Drosophila melanogaster: one gene and its partners. The gene in region 3 interacts genetically with the main gene of each other region. Each region holds a gene or a part of one and is shown on either strand. Other genes may lie near its edges.

Region 1 (4,904 bases), on a different chromosome or scaffold from region 3:
TCTGCGGGTCTATAACTTTAATGTCAAACCATCGCTTTGATTGCGGCAAGGTTGGTCAGTCAATTTACGACAGCTTTCCACGTCAACTGTGGTCATGCATAATCAAGAATAGGCGACAGAAGCGGGAAGGTGGGATTTTACATAAAGCCACCGCAAACAAAATGAATTTGTGACAGAAAATGATAATTATTAATTAAAACCGCGTTTCAGTGTCACCGCAAACAAACTCCAATATATTCTAACACACCCGAAACACGTTTGCGCGCACAAATTTAGTTCTATTTTGTTTGTACGCCAAGAATTAAAATTCGGTATAGCATAAAACGAATTTGTGATACTCTTTCCAACAAGCACTCTCAAAACACAACGATTAGCGTAACACTTTATCTATTTGAAGAGAAATGTTGATGCTGAAAGTAAGTAAATTCGATAAACGAAATACAATTAGAATCCGGGTGAGCTTATCGCATAAGAACGAATACTTAATTTCTGAGTAACGTTTTCACTTAGTCTATTGTTTTAAATTTAACACTTCCGTATATGTCTGCTTCTCTTTTCCATTTTTATCGCCCTTTTATCTAGTTTGTCAACGTTATCAGTCTGGGGACAGAGCAGTATCAGCAGAAGCAGAGAGAGAGCAGGAGTAGGAACCCCCCACACACACCACACCCCCACCCATGTCGACCGGATTGTCCGACGTATTAGATTTGACGCTTCATTATAATGATAGATCGCTGTGCAATGGTCTATCACCAGGAGCAACCAAATGGGTGCCACACAGCGAGAAAGTCGCGCTCCAACATTGTTGGTCAGGTTAAGTTACATGGATTTAACAACAGGTTCGTTTTAAGATACACAAGCCTGGACTCAAATGGAAATGTATACACTGTATACACCTAGAGCAATACTACGTACATTTATAGGACTAGGGAAATCATTTATTCACCTTTTTGTATTAGGTTTGCATATTCAAAAAAGTTCCATACTTTACATATCCTTAAAACCACTATATGCGTTTTTCAGAAGAAAGGGATACAGAACTATTTTGACAATCGAGGTCTTGCCAGTATGCAAACAACCTTTTTCCAGTGTACGTCCATACGTACGATAGTTGTTTAATTTTCCCAGTGACCTACGTTGCGTATGCGCGACTTTTATTCAGTTTTGTATTCTCGCGTTGGCGGCTGCTAAATAATTAATGAGCAGCCTCAAGTGGTGAATCGGATGAGGCGGGTAGAGAATGAAGATAGAATGGAAAATGGAAAACCGAGTGGAAGTGAAGCAGGAGCAGAGGCATGGCCATGTCAGCATAATTAGCCAAACACTCACCCACGCAGACTAATTGTCCTTTCTGGCGCTTGTGTCCTTTAATGCCTTAATTGTGTTTGAATGATTGAAACTAGCTGCCTTTGAAATGGAGGCCGAGGGAGACAAAGGGGCGTGGTGCAGCAATCAAGTGGGATAATTGCATATCAGTGGTGCAGCTGATGCCTCAACTTGATAAATGCCTCGAGTGGCAACTGAAACAGGACCTAACTGAACACACAAGTGGATGCTGCAAAATGGAAGCGGAATAGCAAGAAGGCGAAGACACAGAGAGCTGGCAACTTAAAGCGTTTCGCTAATTGGCACCAGGAGCTGATGTGATATCTGATGCGCTACTCATTAGCTTTTTGCAGCTTCCCGCTTCGAATTCATCGCACAGATTGGCCATAACCTGATAACAAGCTCGAATCGGGGTTCTCCAACGATTCCCCTTTCAATTGGGCGACGAGGCGCTCCAAAATTGAATGGTTGCTAATTGCTAATAAAATTGACTTTTTCAGTATAGATGAATGTTATACCTTTTAGGTTACACTATGGTATGGTATTTCTTACTTATAACATAAAACTGTGAAGAACCTATATCCACCTCTGACTGGCCAATACCCATTGCAATAACTGGTTTGGTTTTTTTTAGTTTTCCAAACGTATTTAATGTCCTAAAGGCCACGTATCGTTGGGAGATCTCAAATCAAAAGCTGGCTTTGCGTGATTCACGAGCCACCCAGTGAAGCGTTATCTGCCCCGTTCTCGGATTTCCAAGCCAGCAGTATCTCAAAGATTTCGAGATACGCGCCACGCCACGCCACGCGCTCGGTACGAGTTCAAGTACAACTGGCAATGGCAAGGCAACAGCGGCAGCGCCGCAAAATCATTGACAAACGCCTTTCGTCCCCGCGACAGATCACTAGCTTGGCTATCGACAGAGATCTTTCAAGTTTTCCAAATCAAAAGCGAAATATTTAAACTTGAAAAGGAACGAGAATGGAAGCGAGGCACAACAAATAATTTGGCGTAGCTCGAATAGAAATCGACCAGTTTGCCTATAACGGCAGACGCACGATGGGGAGAAGGGGGCAACAGCATTTTTCAGCACAATTTTCAATTAGGCAGCCGTGAAAGAAAACGATGCTGAACAAATAAACTGAATGAGATTGTATTTTAATTTAATTTTGTGTGTGCGGTGCTGAACTCGAGAATCGTTTTCCTCCGCCCTCAAAACTCAACTCCCTGATAAATCCGCAGAGTGAAAAGGTTCTGTTCGGTGCGTTACCTGTGCCAAAGTTTTTGACTTTCAGATGAAAACTTCGTTGAGTGGAATTTGTATTTCGTAAGCAGCGAAATTTCAATTTCAGATTTTGCACCCGCTGGCAAACGAAGATAACCTCTCCGGTGGTAATGGGATTTTTTATTGGATTCGCTCTCCTATTTTAGTTTAGCTATAGTTTTTAACTGTCGGCTTAGTCACAACGCACAGATACGGAGAAACACACACGCACTCGGCTGCTGCAGATACGGATACGGATTCTGGGGACCCGGAGAGGGTTCCTCCGGAGAAAATCTCGGGCGGGTTTTCGGGCCAAAATCTTCCGCTAATACGACCGAACGCTTCGGCGAACGACGAATGTCTGTTGGGAAAATCTATGTGGAAATCTCAATGCTGCTGAAATGCAAAAACGAGAGAGCTGAAGCTTCTCAGTCTCGCACATTTCGCCGCGAGCTTTTACCATGTTACACACTTCTCTGGCATTTTCTCGGTTTCTCCCTGAGAACCTCTCTCTGTTTGAGAAGCTTTCTCTCTGCGTTGCCAGGTTTTGTTTTTGTTTTGGGAAAAGCGTTTGCGGCGAAATGTTCATGTTTTGATAACGGGAGAACGGTCCCCCCCCTGTGGGAACCCTCCTTTTAGAGGTTGCAAGGTGCGAGGGGTGGGGTTATGTCAAGCGGGGAATAATTTTCAAATAAACAAGCCAGTCCGGCAACAATGAGGCTTGAACCGACAATGCCAGGCAAACGCAAACCCCCTTGGCGAACCAGAATTGATAATAGTTGCTGAATAGTTTGGCAAAACCTTCGGTGGAACTCGGGGAACGGAATGTTTACTTGGACAGCGCCGTCACATCGCATCGCCTAATCAGCGGTTGAAACGGCCAGAAAATCAAATTAAAATTGCCAATTTGGGCGTTGTTGAGTGGGCCTCGCCTCGCCTCGATTTGAATTTGAATTTGAGTTTTGGTTTTGTCTGCCGCTACCCATTGCAGCCGGGAATATATATATATATTTATTTAATTTTAATGCCCCGACATACGCCGTACGTGAGTACAGCGTCAAATCGTCCGGTCTCGGAACGCGCGCATGTGCCACAAAAAAATAGAGGAACAAAAACCGTCGAGAAGAGGAAGCCCAGATATATGGGTTCTGACTGTTCCAATACCCTCGCTCAACGAGTGCTCTACATCGCATAACGTGATGTTCCGCCCATGTTTCGACTTTGTTCATGCATCACAATGCCTGTGACTTAGTTAGGTAAGAACTTTTTTATGCCCAAGCGTAGGAAAACCTTTTGTGACATAACAAAAATGTAAAAAATAGATCATTAAATTCATACGTAGTCTGCGAATTAAAAGAGATTCTACACCTATATCCCCCGACTGACGGATGCTATAGGGTATGAAAATACGAAAATATTAACGCGAAATAGGAAATCAGAGATCGGCCAAAAAGTCGGAAAATATGTCAGCGCCGAGGGGCAGCGGGAAAGATGACATCCAATATGCGGGAAAACATTGAAGACCTGACCCACATATTTCGTTGGTGGTTCTCCTCAGTTTCCTTCCACCCTTTCCACGACTTCTGCTTTTGCCCTCCAAAAAGTGATTGACAAGGTGAGACAAATTCTTCTGCATCTGTATCTGTATCTGTCTCCGTCTCCGTATCCGTGTATTGGGACTCCACAGCGGCGACAGTTGCAAGATGCTCCCCCTCCCCCTCCACCCTCTGTTTTGTACGCTTGATTGATTGCGGCTCGGCGTCCCCAAGGTCACTAGGTGGACTACAAAAGATATGCAAATATTGGGTGCCGAACGAAAGCTGCGGGCGTGACTCACGACCACCCATCGGGGTCACCAAACATCCCCCATCCCAGTGGGGAACGAGCTCGGCCATAGGATCGACAAGCAGTCATAAACTCGAACTACTTATGGCAACTAGCAATTCTCATTGCATATTTATTCGGCTATAAAATGCGAAAGAGCAGCCGCACATGGGATCACATGGCATTCCATACCAAGCGATCCCTAGATCCCCAACTAAATAAATTTCAAAATTGTTTATTTTCTTCCAAACAAATCAGCGTGCATTAAAAACAGCGAACAGAAAATTTGAAATCCAAATAAAACATTAACATCCGGTGGGAATCGAGCGGTCCCAACTCACGCCGCCTTTCCTCACGTTGCGCCCACTGTGAGTGGGTGGTGCTGCTGGCATTGTTGTTGTGGGTGGTGGTGCTGCTTTGAAGTGGGGATTTACAGGTGTTTTATCTGCCAGTCTGTTTGTTTACAAAGGTCATGAGTTCCCAGACGAAT
Region 2 (4,753 bases), on a different chromosome or scaffold from region 3:
TGGTATATTTTGTTTTTATTGGCGTTTAAAATTGCTATTTCACTTGGGTTTATTGTATTTCTATATTTATCGGTTTCGGATCGTATACGTTTGCATTAGCACGGCGCGGAACGGAATGGTTGCATTTTCGTATATTCTATATATAGGCGTTTGCTACATCAGATTGCTGATTATTTTGGCTGGAGAGATCCGCTTGATTTGACGAACCTGAAAAAGATATTGCCAATTAATTGTTGATCACGTGCAAGTGGCTAAAACAGCTATTAAATAGAAAACAAAGGACTTGCAGGGGGCAACCAAAACGCAGACGTGTAGTTTGCTGAAAAAAAAATTGAAAATAGAAAAACACAGACGACAGGTGTGAGTGAAAAGGTGTAACCCGGCCAACAACAACTAAATCAAATCGCAGGAAAATGCCTGCATTTTTCCTCTTTTCCCCTTCCGCCGCCCATCCATCGCTTGGCTGGATCTCAATGGGCTCTGGGGCAAATATTTTAAATGCGCAGATTTTTGGCATGTTTTAGTGGCAGTTCACGTTTTGAATTGTTGCCATGCCCCTCGGAAACGGTCCAACGCTCGTTTCACTGACAATTTAATACAAAAAATGCCAAACATTTTCACAAAATAAAAGGACCAGCACAAAAAGCCAACGTGGAAAAGTTTGGCAGTCGTATAGCGTGTGTTAACCCTTTAAAATACCCAAAAATATATGTGTTCGTACGTGTAAGCCGGGCTATGATAAAAAAGTTGTTTGGAGCGAAATTGTAGGTTCCTTTTTTATGAATGTGCTTTGCGAAGATATAAATGAGACACCAGTGGGTGTGTGGAATAGTTCAAAAGCCATTTGCATTAATGAAAAAGAAAAATATTTCAGTGAAATATTTAATACACTCAATCAGAAGGAAGTAGAGGGAAATTAAAATTAAGATTGGGTTTAATCATTACTTCAAAGAACTAAATAAATATTGCATAATTAGAAATAACAAGAAACAAAAATTAATTATTATTTAGGAAAATAATTAACCAAAATGACCAAATTTCCTATTTATTTAACCCAAACGCAAATATGAATAATATTCTTCGTTGGCCAGAGAATGTAAACATTTCTGCACTTATTGCTTCGACATTCCCTTAGCGTTTTGCATAATTTAACACACGGGTTAGGCTGTGACCCCTGCAAGAGCCACCCCCCGGATTTCCCACCCGCTGAGTCTGGAGCCCGGCCCCGCCCCCATTTCTTGCTAATACCATTCCGCCCCTTTCGACCAGAAGCGGTGCGTGTGCTTGCTGCTCCCATTGAAATGCCAGACTAACTCAATTAGAGTGCGCAGACAGAAGTTGAAGTTGAGTGTTACTTTGACTGCCGGCCAACATGCGAGTGCAAGAAAATATTTATAAATATTTCGAAACATCTGAAACTGCTCCTATTTAAAATGTAGGGAATTAAAGAATGCAATGATGTGGGGAAAAAACTTGAAGACGCGTCTCAATAAACAGACAGCCGGATAAAAGAGTAGGAAACTCGGCAAAAGTATCTAGATACTTTTTGCAGCTAGGTAGCTAGCTATGAGATACTCTCACAAAAACAGCAGCAAAAGCAACAGTGCTGTCTGGCTTGTGAACTCGACTCGTAAATGTACACAGAAAAAAATTGACCTGTCTTGGATCAATTCTTTATTGATTATTTACAACAATCTTATTGTTTTCAACATTATTCCACAAATGCAAAAAAAATCGTTCAAATTTAGACTTTAATTAAAAATAATATTGTCTTTGTTAATGAACTTGAATGAACTTTAATAAAGTGTAATAAGGTGTAATAAGGAAAAAGAAATAAATATTCGAACTTACATTTATAAAAAAAATGTGAAATTCCGAAAAACTTTAACAAAAATGGTCAAGAAATCAACAAGTTAAAAAGTGTATTTTTAGCGTTGTTGGAAATATAAGCTTATGTAAAGTTAAATATATTCTTTTATATTCTGGGCAAAAAAAGCAATATAAAGAGTATTTAGTCCTTTAAAGCTACGTCGAAATATCTACGTTTAACATTTGAATTTATAAAAAGTTTATGTTCTTAAACAAACAACAACTGAAACAAGATGTGTACACTCAAAATTTAAACTTATAAGTGGCTGAGTTTTCCTCCCTGTGTGCGAAAAACACAACAGAAAACAAAAATAAAATGCAAACAACGGAAAAGCGGAAAAAAAGAACTTGGCGTCGTCTGAGTTTAGCTCTCTGTGCTCTCTTTTCTTTTGCAGCTGTGTGAGTGTGTGGCTGTTGTTGTCTTTCCCATTTTCCCGTAGAAAATGTGAATGATTTTCCTTCACTTTCATCAACAGCTGCGCTCACACAAATGCAAGAAGTACTCATTTTCGAATTGCTTTTTGTTATTATTTTAGATACACAAATGAGTTAGCTTTTTCGTATCTTTACCGTTTGGCTGTGTTTTTGTTGTGCTGATTTTATATTTGTTGTGTTTTTGTATAAGTTTATTACTAATATATTTTTATTTGTTTGTATATTTTATTTGCAGATCTCTCGATTTCTCGGTTTTGTGTTCTTCGCCGGCTTGCTATTTTGCAAATGCCGCCGAAATTGCAATCAATTGCAGTTTTATATCTCCAGCTCACACAGATACTCACGCACACTCACACAAACACACACCAATGCGCGACGGCGACTGCGACGCCAACTGCGACTGCGGCGTCGACCGCGCTGCTCACGTCGTATGTCCGTTAATTAAACGCGCGATTTTTTGTTTGTTTCGGTTTTTACATATTATCTTTTCATGTGCTTCTCTCTTTTGTTTTTATTCCGCTTTGTTATTGTTATTAACTATTGTTATCAGCCCTCGGCGCTGCCAACGTCGACTGCGCTGCCTTTCGCGGCTGCTTTTTGGCTTTTTTTATTTCCCGTCTGCGGTGTAAGCGTCTGCGATTTTCACGTTTTTCCTTCTGCCGCGCTGTGTAGTTTTTCCGGTGATTTCCACTTGCCAACTGACTTTCTTCCGACTTTTCCAAACGGCCGGCCGTTGTTTTGCAAAATTCGCAGAGAGAGAGCGATAACGATTAAGAAATGCGGGGGAGGAAAAATAGAGAGATGGAATTACAAATGCGCCGGTCCAAAAAGCTCGCGAAACGATTTGGTAAACGGAACAGAGCTACGTGAAACGTAAGGCCTGCCCGGAATCACGTAACGTAATCACCAAACGAATCACCAAACGTTAATTTTTTGAAACAAGTTTCTGCAAAATAAATAAGTCATTATAAAATATATTAGAGCTATAAATTTATGCAATGTTATTAACGAAAATATTTTGTATGCTAGACTGGTCGAATGGACCAATAAAAAAGTAATTTCGCACCACTTATTCAAAATATGATGAAATCGTCCTGAATCTAACCAAGAAATTAGTCATAGAAATCAAAAATAAATTAAATATAAATGCGTAATAGTATGGATAGCCCATTTAAAGAAGAATTAATAGGTATCAAGATAATTACTTCAAGGGCTTTGATAGAAATTATATTCAGTAAAATCGCGTTCGCAGTAAAATAAAGAAAACGTATAAGTTCTAGCTAAATCATCACTCATCTTAAACCCGTTTTTCTTTTTTAAGAATACAAATTATTTCAATATGTTATTACTAGAAAACTATTATTAAGCTGATTCTAAATGCTTCATATTCGTGCAAATTTGTTTCAGATCTCCCACTCTAATCCGTATTAATTATTATAATATAATATTATAATATATTATAATATAATAATTTTATAGTATTATTTTATACTATTAGTACTTTGCGCATCTCCAACTTGAAAAGTCCAAATAATTTACCGATATTAATGTTCTATCAACAAAAATAAGCAATTACAAATTAGGTAATACACTAATTGAGCACATTAAAAACCCATTTATTTTAAAATATACACACCTACGTGCGTTTGAAATGCATTAGATTTTAGTCTTCAATTAGTTATCCACTAGTATGAACGTCAAAAAGCTTTTTATATTGGTTGACCTGATTCTGGGGACCCTAATCTTGAGCAGTGTTCGTGCAGAGGTCAGTAGTATAGAATCATATATGTAAGTCCTACTACATTAACCTATCTCAACGTATAGAAAGAAGTTTTTATGACGAAAATTGAGTGCCTCAATTATATGCCAGAATTGGTGAGAAACGTAAGCTGCTACTTAAATGAAACTTCCCACCCCACTGGTTCAATATACGCAGAGTTCATATTAACCCAAGATGTTGAGGACCTGAAGGGCATTTACATTTTGACATTTAAGAGAGGTTCATACGTGACGAATTTTACCTCTTCACATGTAGACTATTGTCAGATGCTATCAAGTGTGGAAAATCATTTTTTATTTAGAATGGTTACTACGCAGCTTCGCGAAACCGCCAATTTTCCTATACAATGTCCGTTGAAAATGGTAATTAACACTGGTAAGAAATTGTATAAAACTCTCTAATATCGTATTTTGGAAATTGTGTTTTAGAATAAACGGTATTACGCAAAGGGATTTACAGTTAACTCGAAATTTATACCCAGCTATATGCCAGAAACGAACTTCATTTCGGACGCCCATTTAAGCGTTAAGGATCGCAAAGTATTTCGGTTGCTTATTAAAGGTCGCTTTTCTAGAATACTTCGGCGAAATTATATTAAAACCGAATAGATCACTATATAAATCAAAATGTGTAATTGCAAAATAAATGGATTTTTTTTACTTACAATAT
Region 3 (5,008 bases):
TTTTGGTTTAAGCATTAAATGTTTTGTAAACTTTATATCTTTAACTTTTGGTTTGTTTGAATGCTGCTTTAAGTGCATCCACGATATGGAGATTTTGCTTGTTTTTCGCAACATGTTTGTGTACAATGTTAAAGTGAAAGAGAAATTCCCGTGCATATTGCAGCTTTGTCCTTTTTCTGCCTGACTGCATCCCTATCTCGTTTTCGGGGGCAAGTCAAAGTCAATGGGATTAACTGACATTTCGGTGTCAGTGGCGCAACCAGGTTAACAAACACTGCACCTCGAAACCATGCTACATGGTGCACACCCGCCCACTGGCACACACGTGCAATTGTTTCAATGTCAAGTGGCGTCGATTGCCCTCATCTTTTGGCGGATGCAGACGCACTTGGACAAAATCTAAGGCTAAGGCTAAGGCTGCAGCTGCAGCTCACAGATGCACTCGACGATGAGATTCAGGCTGATGCAGGATAGAGATGACAGCAAAGACAATATCTACATGATGATTTTTTAGCATCTTTAAATTCTTAAGCTATGTTCAGATAATTTGCACTGTTTTCTTAGATTTGGCTAATTCTAGTCATTATTTTATATATTTTTTAAAAACATTGTAATTATTTCATCACTATCGAACTGTTTGGTACTGAAACCACTTTAATCGGACCGAGTCATCCGCAGGCCACATGGCTCCTCGAAACTGTTTAGGTTTTCACACTCGCCTGCCACGAGGGCGGATGCAACTGTTGCTGCTGCCATTGTCTAAGATGTTGCATGCACAGTGGTGCATGAGTCCATTTTATTTTCGGATATCCATGCCACATGCAACACCCAAAAGTTGACCCAAATTACTTCGGTTTCGCCTTGGCCAAAAAAAACACGCTAAAAATAGTTTTGTCATGGAATCGATTCATCAGCACTCAAATAGAGTGGAATAACCTTGAGTTCGATTCCTTTTGTGGGGCAACAAGTCATTACATTTAATTTAAATAACCAGTCAGTACATACAAAAATCATAGTTTTTGAATTTACTTTTATTCCAGTCTTTGAATCTTCTAAAAAATGTGAACTCTGATATAAGCCTTGATGGAAATTGAAGAGCAGCTAATCCAAAATTGCGTCCAGTACATCCAGCATTTCCGCCGCAGAGTAAAAGTGTGTGCAATAAATATCCCCCTATCTATCGGCACATAAAACCGAAAATAAAATTTTCCAAGTGCCCCGGAATCTGGCGGCCGATAGATAAACCAGCAATTTCCACCAAAATAGAACGAACAATAGAGTCGAGTCGAGTGGAAAGGTAAACGCTGAGCAGGATTTCCATTTCCGGTGAGAAAAACCCAAGTGGAAAAACGAGAAAAAGCGACGAAAAGTGCACTTACCCAGCAGCAGGAGCTTGATGTCCTTGGCCGCCTGGATTCCATCCTCCTTTAGATTCTTCTCGATCTGTTTGGATCGCTGGATGGCGGCGCGTTCTTCGGCGGATGTGGTGCAGCCCATTGTGGTTGGGTTTGGATACTGATTTGGATTCGGATTCGGATTTACACGGGGCTTTTCGGTTTTCGGGCTTTTGTTTTCCAATTTTCCTGGACTTTTTTCTTTATGTCTTATTTGCTTATGTACAGTTTAACGATTTCAACTGAAATGGAGTATTGAACCCATCAACAATAACAAATACACGGGTCAGCGGATGATTCACTATAAACAGTGCGCGATCGATAAGGCGAACCAATGAATATCAAGGATGTGTTAAATATACAGCCGAGTTCAAAATAATAATGTTGAGTTATCTTAAATTAATTTTGTCTGCTGTGTATAAACACAAATTGTAATTGTAATTGTAATATTCTTTCTGTTACTCAACTATTATGAGAAACACAGCTGTATATTAATTTGTATGTAATAGTTAAAAAGATTATTTTAAACTGATGTTACAAGGTTTATGGAACACATCGTTCGCTCTATGGATGTTGTACTGTACTGAGACAAGCACTAATTTTATGACCGCCACTGTCTGTGCAATGGGCCGCGCACTGTATCAATTATGTTGCTTTTGTTTTTTATCAGCAGACGCAAAGTAAAAATAAAAGCAATGATAGCCAGCTAATTTGCATATGGAGCATGTTTGCGATATCGATACAAAATTCATCAATCGCGCTGATAAGATAAATCCATCAGATAATGCTGGATCGCGATAAGAACGATGGTAATTTATCATGTAAGTGAATTAGTCTCGAGGTCAAAGAGCCAAAAACTCAAGCTTATTTTTTGGATACCACTTATTTTTTGTTGTCACACTTTTAATAAAACTTTTATAAATTTTGTTTGTTTTTTTTTTTTTTTGGTTTTATTTGTATGTTTTTTATGCAGTGTGTATGTATTAAGCGTGGGCGTAGGCGCTAAAAAAGCGCCGGGTTGGTGGAAAAAAAGGCGGTGGGTTGTGGAGTTTTCTTTTTCGAGCGTTTGCCTAAGCACATTAACATATGCAAAAAGTAATGCCGTTTTTATGCAAACTGTTAACCATTTCGGATGTATAAATTTTCATTTAGTTTGTCGCTGTTTCACTCACACGCGCGCACACACTCACTCACTCACACGCACGCACTACGCACTCTCACGCGCTGCACACGCCACACCCCCCGCCCACTGGGCCGCCACCCACCACCCCACGAGTTTTCCTTTTCCTTTTTTTCAGCTTTTTTCAGCTTCACATTTACCACCGCCTAGTTTTCCAGTCGTATACACACCGCACTAGTGTATGCGTGTGTGTGGGTCTGCTTCAGCCTGCTGTGTGCGTGTGTGTGCAGGAGGCTCTCTTTTGCGTTTGGCTGTTCTTATTGGTTCCGTTCGCTTTGCGCTTCTTTTTCGCGACTCGCTGTATTTATTGCACCGATCGTGATAGTTTACCGTTGCACTTGCCGAGCACTTGCACTTGTATTTTTGGCCGCAGTGATATTGGTAAATTGCACTTTTCTGGTGTGCGAAAATTTAGCTGCTCTCTCTCGCTTCGTTCGCTCTTTCCAACTGCAGAGCGAGGCGTTCGAACAGCTGTTGGCGGCGTCGGTGCGCAGCACTGGACGCGGCGGGGGTGGCTGTTGACCAGCACTGGCCGCAACAACAGCTGCTGCAAAACAAGCTTATATTTAAAAATTTAAATTTGTTAAAATCTTCCGCTATTTATATACATATAATTTAATAAAATGTTTTATATAAATATGAAAGAACATGCTCACTTTAGTTTCAATAAATATTTTGCATCACTTTGTATGTACAGACATTTATTTTTTTATTATGTTTTGAAACTTATCTGGATTTTAAATAGCAGGCCACTCAAAAGGATCTCATGAATACAATATTTGAGCTTTAAGTGATACAAATAGAGATATATTTTTTATTTATATTATTGCAAATAATTATTAAAAATTCGCATACCTTTCATAACAATTGCAGTGCATATTCTCCCAAATATATTCATATTTAAAATAAAACAACTATTTTAATTTAAATTCGCCTGAGGTTTGAACGGTTAAATAAAATAAATGATTAATTCAACAAAGTGTGCACTTTCCAGCACTATTTATAGCAACAGCCGATTATTATAGCAGGAATCTATCGATTATACTTAACTTTCTTAGCCAACACTGTCGTTATATCATTGTTTTGGTCGTTTCCTAAAATGTTGCGGCAATTTATAGTAAGTTTATGGCCCCAAATGTAGTAAAATATAATTGATTGCTTAATTGGACACAGGTATCTACGGTAGGCCGTCGCCTGCAACTACCTATGATGGCCCAAAGTCGCCTCGCCAGCAATTTGGACAAAACTGAGTACACAACACCCGGGGAAATTGTGGACTACGATGATCCGCCGCATTTGCCAGTTCCGGAATATCCTGTCCGTCCCGATGAGCCGCTGGAAACTCGCAAGCAGCGGTATACGCTTAAAATGAAAATATCCCAAACTCCTACTTATGATCATTCATTATCTTGTGCAGCCTTTTGTATCAAAGCAGGAAACGCGGAATGCTGGAAAACGATCTCTTGCTGAGCACTTTTGTGGCCAAGCATTTGAAGGACTTCAATGCCGAGCAGACCGCCGAGTACGATCAGTTGATCAATGGTGTCAGCAACGACTGGGATATATTCTACTGGGCCACCGATACCAAGCCAACACCTCCTCAATTCGATACCGAAATAATGCGTCTGCTAAAGGAGCACGTCAAAAATCATGAAAAAGTGCAAAGGATAAGGCAGCCGGATTTGTGAACATTATAAACTATATTATATATATAAGCATACAAAACAATGTATTAAATGAATGTGTTATTCTACTCCTGATCCTTAAAAGACCAATGACTTGAACTTGCATTTTACCTGGTATTTAAAAACGATCATTTATACGGAATAATAAATAATACGGTTGCAAGTGATTTGGTAATTTGAATGTGCTTTCATTTTTATTTTTATTTGTTGAAAACTTCAGCTTAATCAACAAATCATGACATTTGAAAAGATACAATTTTAATATATAAAACTGAACACATTGTCAGAATGGCATATATTTAATCCAATTTGAACCCCCTTTAAAACACAGTTCTCGCTTTCCTGAAATACACATCCATACAATATATTTAAACGATTATCCAGTTAAATTCTATTCATGTTTGCCGAATGTGTGTATGACCAATCTTGTATATATAGATTAAATTTTAATACGCTTAAACACTATAGCGAAACATTACACTTAAAATGTTCATTTGCTTTTGCTTAGTCTTGCCACAAGACACGGGATGGCGCGGAGTCCATCGAAAATCGCTGAAAACACGGAGAATTAAAACGCGAATGTCTACCAGTTAACTATGGATTCGGTTCTATATTAACATGCTAAGGAGATGATTGAACAGCTTTTGCTCCAGGCTAGTCCCTTCACTATCAATTCTAGATTATATTTTGGTGTGTGATTGTTGTGTTTCGGGCGGTGGAAGCGAAAAACAAAGGGCTAATTCAATTTC
Region 4 (7,489 bases), 7.4 Mb from region 3:
GAGCGAGGCTCTCCCGAAATACAAATATTGTTCAAATACTGAGGCTTCTCCTCAATCCAATTTGCATTTGATTTTTAGTCTTAAGCTGAGATCCAAAGAATAAAGTCGTGAAACTATTTCTCCTAAAAACTATTTTTTATTTCTTGGCGTTGTCCTTAGTCAACTGACGGGACATTAGTTCGACTCATAAATAAAACAACAATTTTACTATATATATATATATATATATATATGCTGGTGTGTTGTATATATAAGTTTATAAAGTTTATGTATGTAATACGTTTAAAAAGATTTTTTGGTTTCTTTCCTTCTTTTTTTTGTAATGTTTTTTTGGAAAAAGTATTTCTGTTACGTTGCGGTTTATGATTACGTTTAAACATACTTATCAGTTAGCGGGTTCCGTAATCTTGGTTTCAATTTGATTAATACGTCTCTTAGATCACTAGTATTACAATGGATGCTATTTGTGTCGCTCGTTTCGTATTAGCTTTCTGGGTATTTTTTTCTTGTTGTTTTTCTTTCTGTTTTTTTGTTTTTTTTTGGTTGTTTTGGAAAATGCTTTCTGTGGTCGAACCTGCTTCTTAGTGAAAACATATTTTGTAATACCTAACTCTTTGGTTAGCTAACGACTAGAACGTAGGAAGAGAAAGGAATCCGATTCACATTGAACGCACGACGTCTGATTCACCGGCCCCAACCAGGATCCTGATTTCGTGGCTGCTCGCAAAATGGTTAAATGGTTCTACTAATGGATACATATTGCTTAGTCGATTGCAGCAGCGATTGGGGCGGAAAATCAGAGATATACCAGTGGAGAGCAACAGCGGAAGTCAACACAGCGCAACTGAATTCGATCCAAATCCAAATCCAAATCCGATCCGGGACATCAAGCCATCCTCTCTAAGTTGGACTATCCGCTTTGGAACCGGCATTCGAGTTGTCTTGCAGTTGAGCTAGTGTCTTGAACTTTTGAGAGTTTAGGAATCTGTTGAAAAAGATACCCCGTTTAAGTATAAATACAGTATCTTTTATTTTTGCCTAAAGAGCACTCACCTCGGATATGAGTCTCTGTGCATCAGTGTGTAGATCTGGATTTGAGCTTCGTCGAAGGTGTGCGTCGTGGGCTCGATCATGTTCCGGTTGACAATCTCGCGGACCCTGGAGTCCAGCGACACCTCCCTGGGCGACAGGATCGAGATGTAGTCCTCGTAGATGAGGCGCGCCTTCTCCTCCACCAACTCTGGGCTATTCTCCTTCTTGAGATCCTCGCAGGCCAGCCAGAATAGGATGTTCTCCTCACTGAATTCGCTGCGCAGGAAGTTCTGGAACACCTTTCGACCAGCTGGGAAAATATTCGGCCAACCACCAATTAGTTTGGATCAAGGTGGCAATTGTCAATGGCTTACCTGTACTTTTCATCAGCTTGTCAAAGCTTTTGCCCCAGCTGCGGATTTCCTCCAGTGTGGGTCTGTAATGTACAAATAAATGTAGTTTTTCCGTGGCTTAAGTTTATTAAGTTGATTGGTGCTCAAACTCACTGCTCGCCATCCAAGAATTCGGCATTTACCAGATCTCGCTTCGTGGGGGCATTTTCATCGGCATTCTTGATGGCCAGACTGTAAAGATAAGAAAAAAGGGAAAAAACAAGGGGGGTTTGCTTGTTAAAAGTCGATTATTTTGATTTTACAACTCATCAATCACCCTTTAAAGTATACTACAATTTTATTCATCGCTGAATTGGCGCTCAGCCTGACTCATTTTTAACTGGCACAAAATAGCATAAATATGTAAGTACAGTAGCCGCTCGATAACGTAAACTTTTAGATAGCGCAAGCTACTGATTAGCATTTTATAAAACACTTGCACCAAACATAGAAACTGAACATAAGCGATTCTACCACATTTTAAGCTAGAGAGTTTAAAAGTTACTCATATATCTGAACGCGATATAAAGATATAATGCCTCGAATAAACACTGTAGATAGGCTAATGGCATATCGGTTTTGGGTTTCGAAGCCCGGAGACAGAGCAACGGAGTACTCGAACTTGACATAAAGCTCTCTTATCTGGACGACAGTTATCAGAGCGACTCGCTGGCCCAATACCTAATCAAAGTCACACAGGCGTACATATACCCCTATACATATATGAATCAAATTAGATGCGGCCAGGGGGGGTTTGAGGCGACATCGGGTGCTCTGAACTGGGTTTTCGGGGCGATATACCCCCAAGTTGTGCACACAAAGGTGCGGACGGGGGGTTGCGAGTTGGCGGCGGGTCGCAAAAGACTTTCGTTTTCATTCACGAAAACATGCAACACTTGGAGGAGTCCGCGGAGGAGCCGCCACATACTTATTTATATTTGATTTGAAAAGTGCCCTCCAGAGAGCTTTTCGCTGCCCGTCGCCTTGCTCACGGAATTGTGAATGAATGCGGGAGAAACTGAGAGAGCGGCACCAGTGCTAAAGAGCGTTTCGTAAGAGAGAAAGCGGAGAAAGTTCGCATGGCGGAGAGAGAAAGAGCTTTTGGATGTTCAGCAGCGTTGCCAGCTGCCAGCAGAAGGCCACCTTTACCGTGTCCATTTCCATTTCAACTTCCCTATCCATATCCATATCCATATCCATGTCAGTGGGCACAGCCATAGCCGAAGCCAAAGCCAAAGCCAAGCAATAGTTAAAGCCAAAGCAATAACCATAGCTGTAACCGTGGCCACATCCATGACAGCACTGCGAGAAACATGGACTAATAATATTTCGACTCTCTTAAAAAAAGGGCTCAAACAGACAACCTTTAAAATGAAATGATTTATAAAATAAAAAAATAAAAAATTTGCAAAAAATTGATATTGAAATAAGTAAAAATAAATAAATTAATTAACAATAACGATGTTAATGTAACCAAAGATTGGTTCATCTGTTATAGTATATCTTGAAAATAAAGCTAACTAGGTAAAATAATTACGTATTTAAAATAATTGCGCATTTAATATTCTATACTTTACAGTCCAATAATACCAATCGATTCTCTCGGTGTATGAATGCATGAGTGTTTCAGGAGGTGCTTACCATTTGGCCCTGTTGTCAGGATGTGGTTGGCAGTGGATGGGTATTGGCACAGGTAGTTGTTTTAATGACCGAACGGTTGAGTCAAGGCAGCGCGGTAACGAGAAAGAAATTGATTTCGTGTCAGAGGATTCGAGCGGTGCACAAATAGGCCACTCGGTGGTGGCCTCCATACTCACCAGGAGCAGGAGCAGCAGCAGCACCAGCAGAAGCAGCAAGGCTTCTGCGACTGCGGACGCTGAAACGTGGTCGCGTTCGACTCCTGCAGCACGTTGGACGTGGAGCCGAGGATTCCCACGCTGCCGCCCACGGTGGGCGATACTCCGCCCAGGCTGCCGCCACCTCCGACGACGCCCCCGCCGCCACCGTTCCCATTGCCATTCCCATTGTTGCCACTATTGTTGGCGGCACTTTGCTGTGAGGATGCAGTCATGCCGCGCAATCGACAGCCACTGGGCAGCTCGGAAACGGTGCAGGACATGCCGCTACCTGCAATAAAGGAACAAATTGAAACGTTAATGAACACTGTGCACGGGATGGAGTGGGGGGAAAGTGTGCTGACAGTTGGGCGAATCACAGTCACACTGCAAAAAATAGCTCTATTAGTCATCTAGAAAGAATTGTTAACCAAGGTGCCCGGAACTTAACTACTTAATTGTCTTGGCTGGTGAGTGTTTGTCTTTTTGGTTTGGATCCCATTAATTTGACAAGATGTCATTCAAAAGATACTGAAACTGATTCATTATATTATAAATATTATTATAAATATTATATTTATATTATAAACATTATATTCATAAATATGTTATTTGAATCTAGTCAAAACACCTTTTAAATAAAATTGTAATATTTGTTCTTTGCATTTATCACAAAGAAACTTTATATGAAATTAAAGATTAAATAGTAAAGAAAACTGTTGAATTATTAAAACATTGATTGTTTGTATATTTAATTTACCAAAACTATCAAAATATAATAAATACATATTCGGGAAAGTGTAATCTGGAGGAGTAGGTCCAACTGCTCCCGATTCGCCTCGTTTTCCGTGTGCACTTACCTGCCCTTTGAAAGTTGAGGTTGACGCTGGCGGAGCTGACGGAGATGGTGGAGGTGGAGATGGTGATGGGTGTTGGGTGGTGAGGTGGTGCTGCCCCAGCTGGCGGACCGCCCACTGCCACTGACCTACCCACTCACCCGCTCGCTTTGGTGCTCTTTTCTTTGCTTCGGCTTCTCTTTCTCGGCTTCCTTGGGGATGTGGGGTATGCAGGGAGACCGTTACGTATTTATGTTTTTGCTAATAATTTTTTATCGAAAGTTCCCACACACTCTCTCTCTCTCTCTCTCTCTCCCTGTGGCGCTCTGTCCTCTCTTTCTCGCTCTGCCCACAGCTGCTGCTCTTGATTTTAGTTTTCGTTTTGTTTTATGTTTTTTTTCCTTCTCCTTAGCTTTTCCTTGGGCGATTTTACAAGCCGAAAAATTCCAGAAATTCTTCAAGATTTTTTCGATAACCTTTTCGAGTAGTAGTTATCCTTATCGTAGGTTCCTGACTTCAAACCTTCGCGTGGGTTTGGTTTCCGTTTTTTTTTCTAGGGGGTCTAGCGTTTCTTTAGAGAGTTGACGGTGCGCGGGTGGCATTTACATATTCCGCTCCGGATTTACGGGCGAAAATCTAGCGATTCAATGGCCCCGTGCACCAAGGGGCACATTTCACAAGCGTTACGAAATTTATGAGCAGCTGGAGCTGCCACCGTAGTTGTTGTTCTGGCCTTTATTTATTTCTTGTGCTAGTCATTACACTGCCATTGTATATGTACATATATATGTAGGCGCCGTTGTGTGCGTGCGTCTGTGCGTGTGTGCGTGAGGAGGGGGTGGGCTGGAGTACCACCACATTGACACGCAACTTGGCTAAGTGGAGCGCATTGTTTGGCCCGTTGGGCGGATGGGGCGTATGCGTGATTTTCTCCACTTGTGCTGATGTTGCTGCAACAGCTGCAACATGTAGGCATCAGCAGCTAATTGCACTTGTTTGTAACTCGAAACGCCAGCGATTTTTGGTCGTTGCACTTATCACAAATCAGCTGCTTGGGTTCTTTTGTTGACCATTGCCTTTAGCCTGGCTATCTATGTATATTATATGTATATTTTGTTTTATTTTCTTGTTGTTGAACCAGCGCTTCCGTTCAGATTTTCACTCAAACACCACACACACGTTTATATTTTCTTTGAGGATTTTTGGGCGAATGGGTGGGCGGGAAAAGGGGGTCGCGTTTGTATGTATGTATGTTTTTGAGGAGCAGCGACGAGTACATACGAATTTTTGCCACTAGAATCGGAATCGAAATGTGTATATTTGTATATATTTTTCTTTTTCGCCCCGAAATTGTTTTGCTTGTGCTTCGATTTTTTTTTTGTGAATTTCTTTACGATTTTTTTCGTTGACTGTTGAGAATGTGTGTGTGTGTATGAATACGAATTGGGGGAAACTGCAATTTTCGTGGTCACTGGACTGCCTGGACTGGCATTTTCACATTTTCACATTTCGCCCTCGGCCATATTTTATTATATTCCTTCGTGCTCGGTGCCCCCGCAATGGCAGCCAATTCCCATTCGATTTCTGCGCTCTGCGATTTTGGCTGCTCAGCACCAGCAGCACCCAGAAGCTGAAGCCAAAATCCTCGACGGGTCGATTCGAGCGTTTCGAGATTCTCTCCGCTCGGGCAAAGGCAGGCGACTGATTTCCAAGCAGTGCCGTGTCGCCAGCTCTTGATTTTGATTTTCCAATGCGCGCGCTCCTCCCGAGGAACGCAAGATAACGGCGAGTGGAAAGTGGGCAGCCGGGGGAGGGCTCCATAGGTGGACTGAGCGAAAAGCTTTGTGGAATTGCTATACAGTTAGAATTCCTGGTACACACAGGAGAGGGACTGACAGGCGGAGAGCGCGAGAGAACGGACGGTAAGACATGTGCGCGAGTCGGAAAAAGAGAATAAAGCTCGGGACTCTTCGCCCCACTGGAATTTACCGCAAAGCTTTGGGGCCAGAACTTATAAACTTTCGGCAGGGTTGCACTTACATTTTGATTTTGGGATCCCGTTGATTTCGAAAACCGTTGTTTTTAAAATGTTCGAATGAAATGGTTATATGAAATACTTTACTTTTCATAAAAATTAATATATTTTTTATTTACTATTGAAATTTCACAAAACTTTCGGAAACTAAAAGAAACTTTCTTGGGGTTTGTACACCTAAATTACGTGTATAGTCGGATGGTACTGTCCGCGCCCGTGGAGAAGACCCATGGCTGCACCGGATGCCAGTTAACATCCAGCACACCAAACTCATCGCGTTTCTCGTGTGTTTGCAGCTTCTTGAGAGGCACAATCAAAGGGTTTTGCAGCAGGTCACTAAAAAAAAGTTTGGAGAAATTCGTAATTAACCTTGGGCAATGTTGATTTATAGCCACTTACTTATAGACCATGCCATGGGAGACGATCACAGCCTGGTCATCGCTGCCGGAAGCAAAGAGCGGATATCGAAGATGGAAAGCAACACTGCGAACTGCATTGCGATGGAGTCGCATGGTCTGGTAGGGCTTTGTGGACAGATCCAAATCGAACCAGAGCATCTTTTTGTCATAGGTGGACACCAGCAGATTGTCGCCCTTGGGATGAATAGACATGCCCGATATCCATTTGGAGTTGGTCAGCAGCTTCTTGACAAGCTCTTGTTTGACCAGATCATAAATGCGAATGTTGTGTTGCGTCTGTAAAGAAAAAACAGAATTCAATAAGACATACTAACAAAAGAAAATTAACCCACTTACCGCCACAAAGAAGCAGGGCTTCACCGGATGGAAGAGCACGAATTGGATGAGACCCTTGCTCTTGGAGAATGGAATCTGTGAGCGCCGCTTGGACAACTGATGAATTAAAGCCGAGCGGTTAGCACCTTCGGGCATCACTGTGGCCAAGTAGTCACCACGACCGTGCCAGGTCACCTGTCGGATGGGTTTGAAGTGGGTAATCACTACGCGGACGCCCTTCTCCTGCTCATCAGCTTCCGCATTTGACCATTGCACCGCCGTCTTGATGCGTTCACTTTCAATGACATCCTGACTGGGCGCCTCAGCCAAGAGATCGTCGGTCTTCTTCACCAGCACCTTATCGCCCACTTTAGGATTGACGAGCAGCAAGCGATTGCCAGTGGCCACCGCAATAATAGACAGCTTGGGATTTGGACACCAAGCCACACAGCGTACCACTTCGTCGGTCTCGATTGTGCGAATGCAACGACCTGTTGCAATTTCCCAAACTGTGAGGTGAGATGGATTAGTAAGAAGATATCTAAAAGGTTGTCAATTAAATTAGTACTTACTCTTGACGGTTTTATCATCCGAACCGGAGACGAGGTACTCTCCCTTGGGCTCC

The links.
Region 1: of Galphao (region 3) and Plc21C, changing one suppresses a phenotype caused by changing the other (phenotypic suppression), as found in Drosophila melanogaster (one study listed by BioGRID).
Region 2: of Galphao (region 3) and fz2, changing one enhances a phenotype caused by changing the other (phenotypic enhancement), as found in Drosophila melanogaster (one study listed by BioGRID).
Region 4: of Galphao (region 3) and Dhit, changing one enhances a phenotype caused by changing the other (phenotypic enhancement), as found in Drosophila melanogaster (one study listed by BioGRID).

The regions. Positions count from the first base shown.
Region 1 is NT_033779.5:308,298-313,201, reverse strand, and holds the start of Plc21C (phospholipase C at 21C), read right to left. Parts: upstream 3,003-4,904; 5' UTR 2,597-3,002; intron 1-2,596. UniProt on the Drosophila melanogaster protein: The production of the second messenger molecules diacylglycerol (DAG) and inositol 1,4,5-trisphosphate (IP3) is mediated by activated phosphatidylinositol-specific phospholipase C enzymes.
Region 2 is NT_037436.4:19,232,366-19,237,118, forward strand, and holds the start of fz2 (frizzled 2), read right to left. Parts: upstream 3,009-4,753; 5' UTR 2,649-3,008; exon of another isoform or gene 2,440-2,648; intron 208-2,439; 5' UTR 1-207. Other genes in the region: CG33647 (uncharacterized protein), read left to right, coding at 3,995-4,069, 4,129-4,446, 4,513-4,692. UniProt on the Drosophila melanogaster protein: Receptor for Wnt proteins.
Region 3 is NT_033778.4:10,436,003-10,441,010, reverse strand, and holds the start of Galphao (G protein alpha subunit o), read right to left. Parts: upstream 3,027-5,008; 5' UTR 2,905-3,026; intron 2,764-2,904; exon of another isoform or gene 2,660-2,763; intron 2,541-2,659; exon of another isoform or gene 2,519-2,540; intron 2,406-2,518; exon of another isoform or gene 2,274-2,405; intron 1,641-2,273; exon of another isoform or gene 1,637-1,640; 5' UTR 1,566-1,636; exon of another isoform or gene 1,498-1,565; coding exon of another isoform or gene 1,380-1,497; intron 1-1,379. Other genes in the region: CG12895 (uncharacterized protein), read left to right, coding at 3,674-3,691, 3,748-3,929, 3,992-4,262. UniProt on the Drosophila melanogaster protein: Guanine nucleotide-binding proteins (G proteins) are involved as modulators or transducers in various transmembrane signaling systems.
Region 4 is NT_033778.4:17,791,181-17,798,669, reverse strand, and holds Dhit (double hit), read right to left. Parts: upstream 5,801-7,489; 5' UTR 4,120-5,800; intron 3,552-4,119; 5' UTR 3,544-3,551; coding exon 3,242-3,543; intron 3,075-3,241; coding exon 3,066-3,074; intron 2,785-3,065; exon of another isoform or gene 1,617-2,784; coding exon 1,539-1,616; exon of another isoform or gene 1,469-1,538; coding exon 1,407-1,468; exon of another isoform or gene 1,343-1,406; coding exon 1,054-1,342; exon of another isoform or gene 986-1,053; coding exon 901-985; 3' UTR 542-900; downstream 1-541. Other genes in the region: CG5033 (uncharacterized protein), read right to left, coding at 6,313-6,466, 6,530-6,825, 6,886-7,373, 7,437-7,489.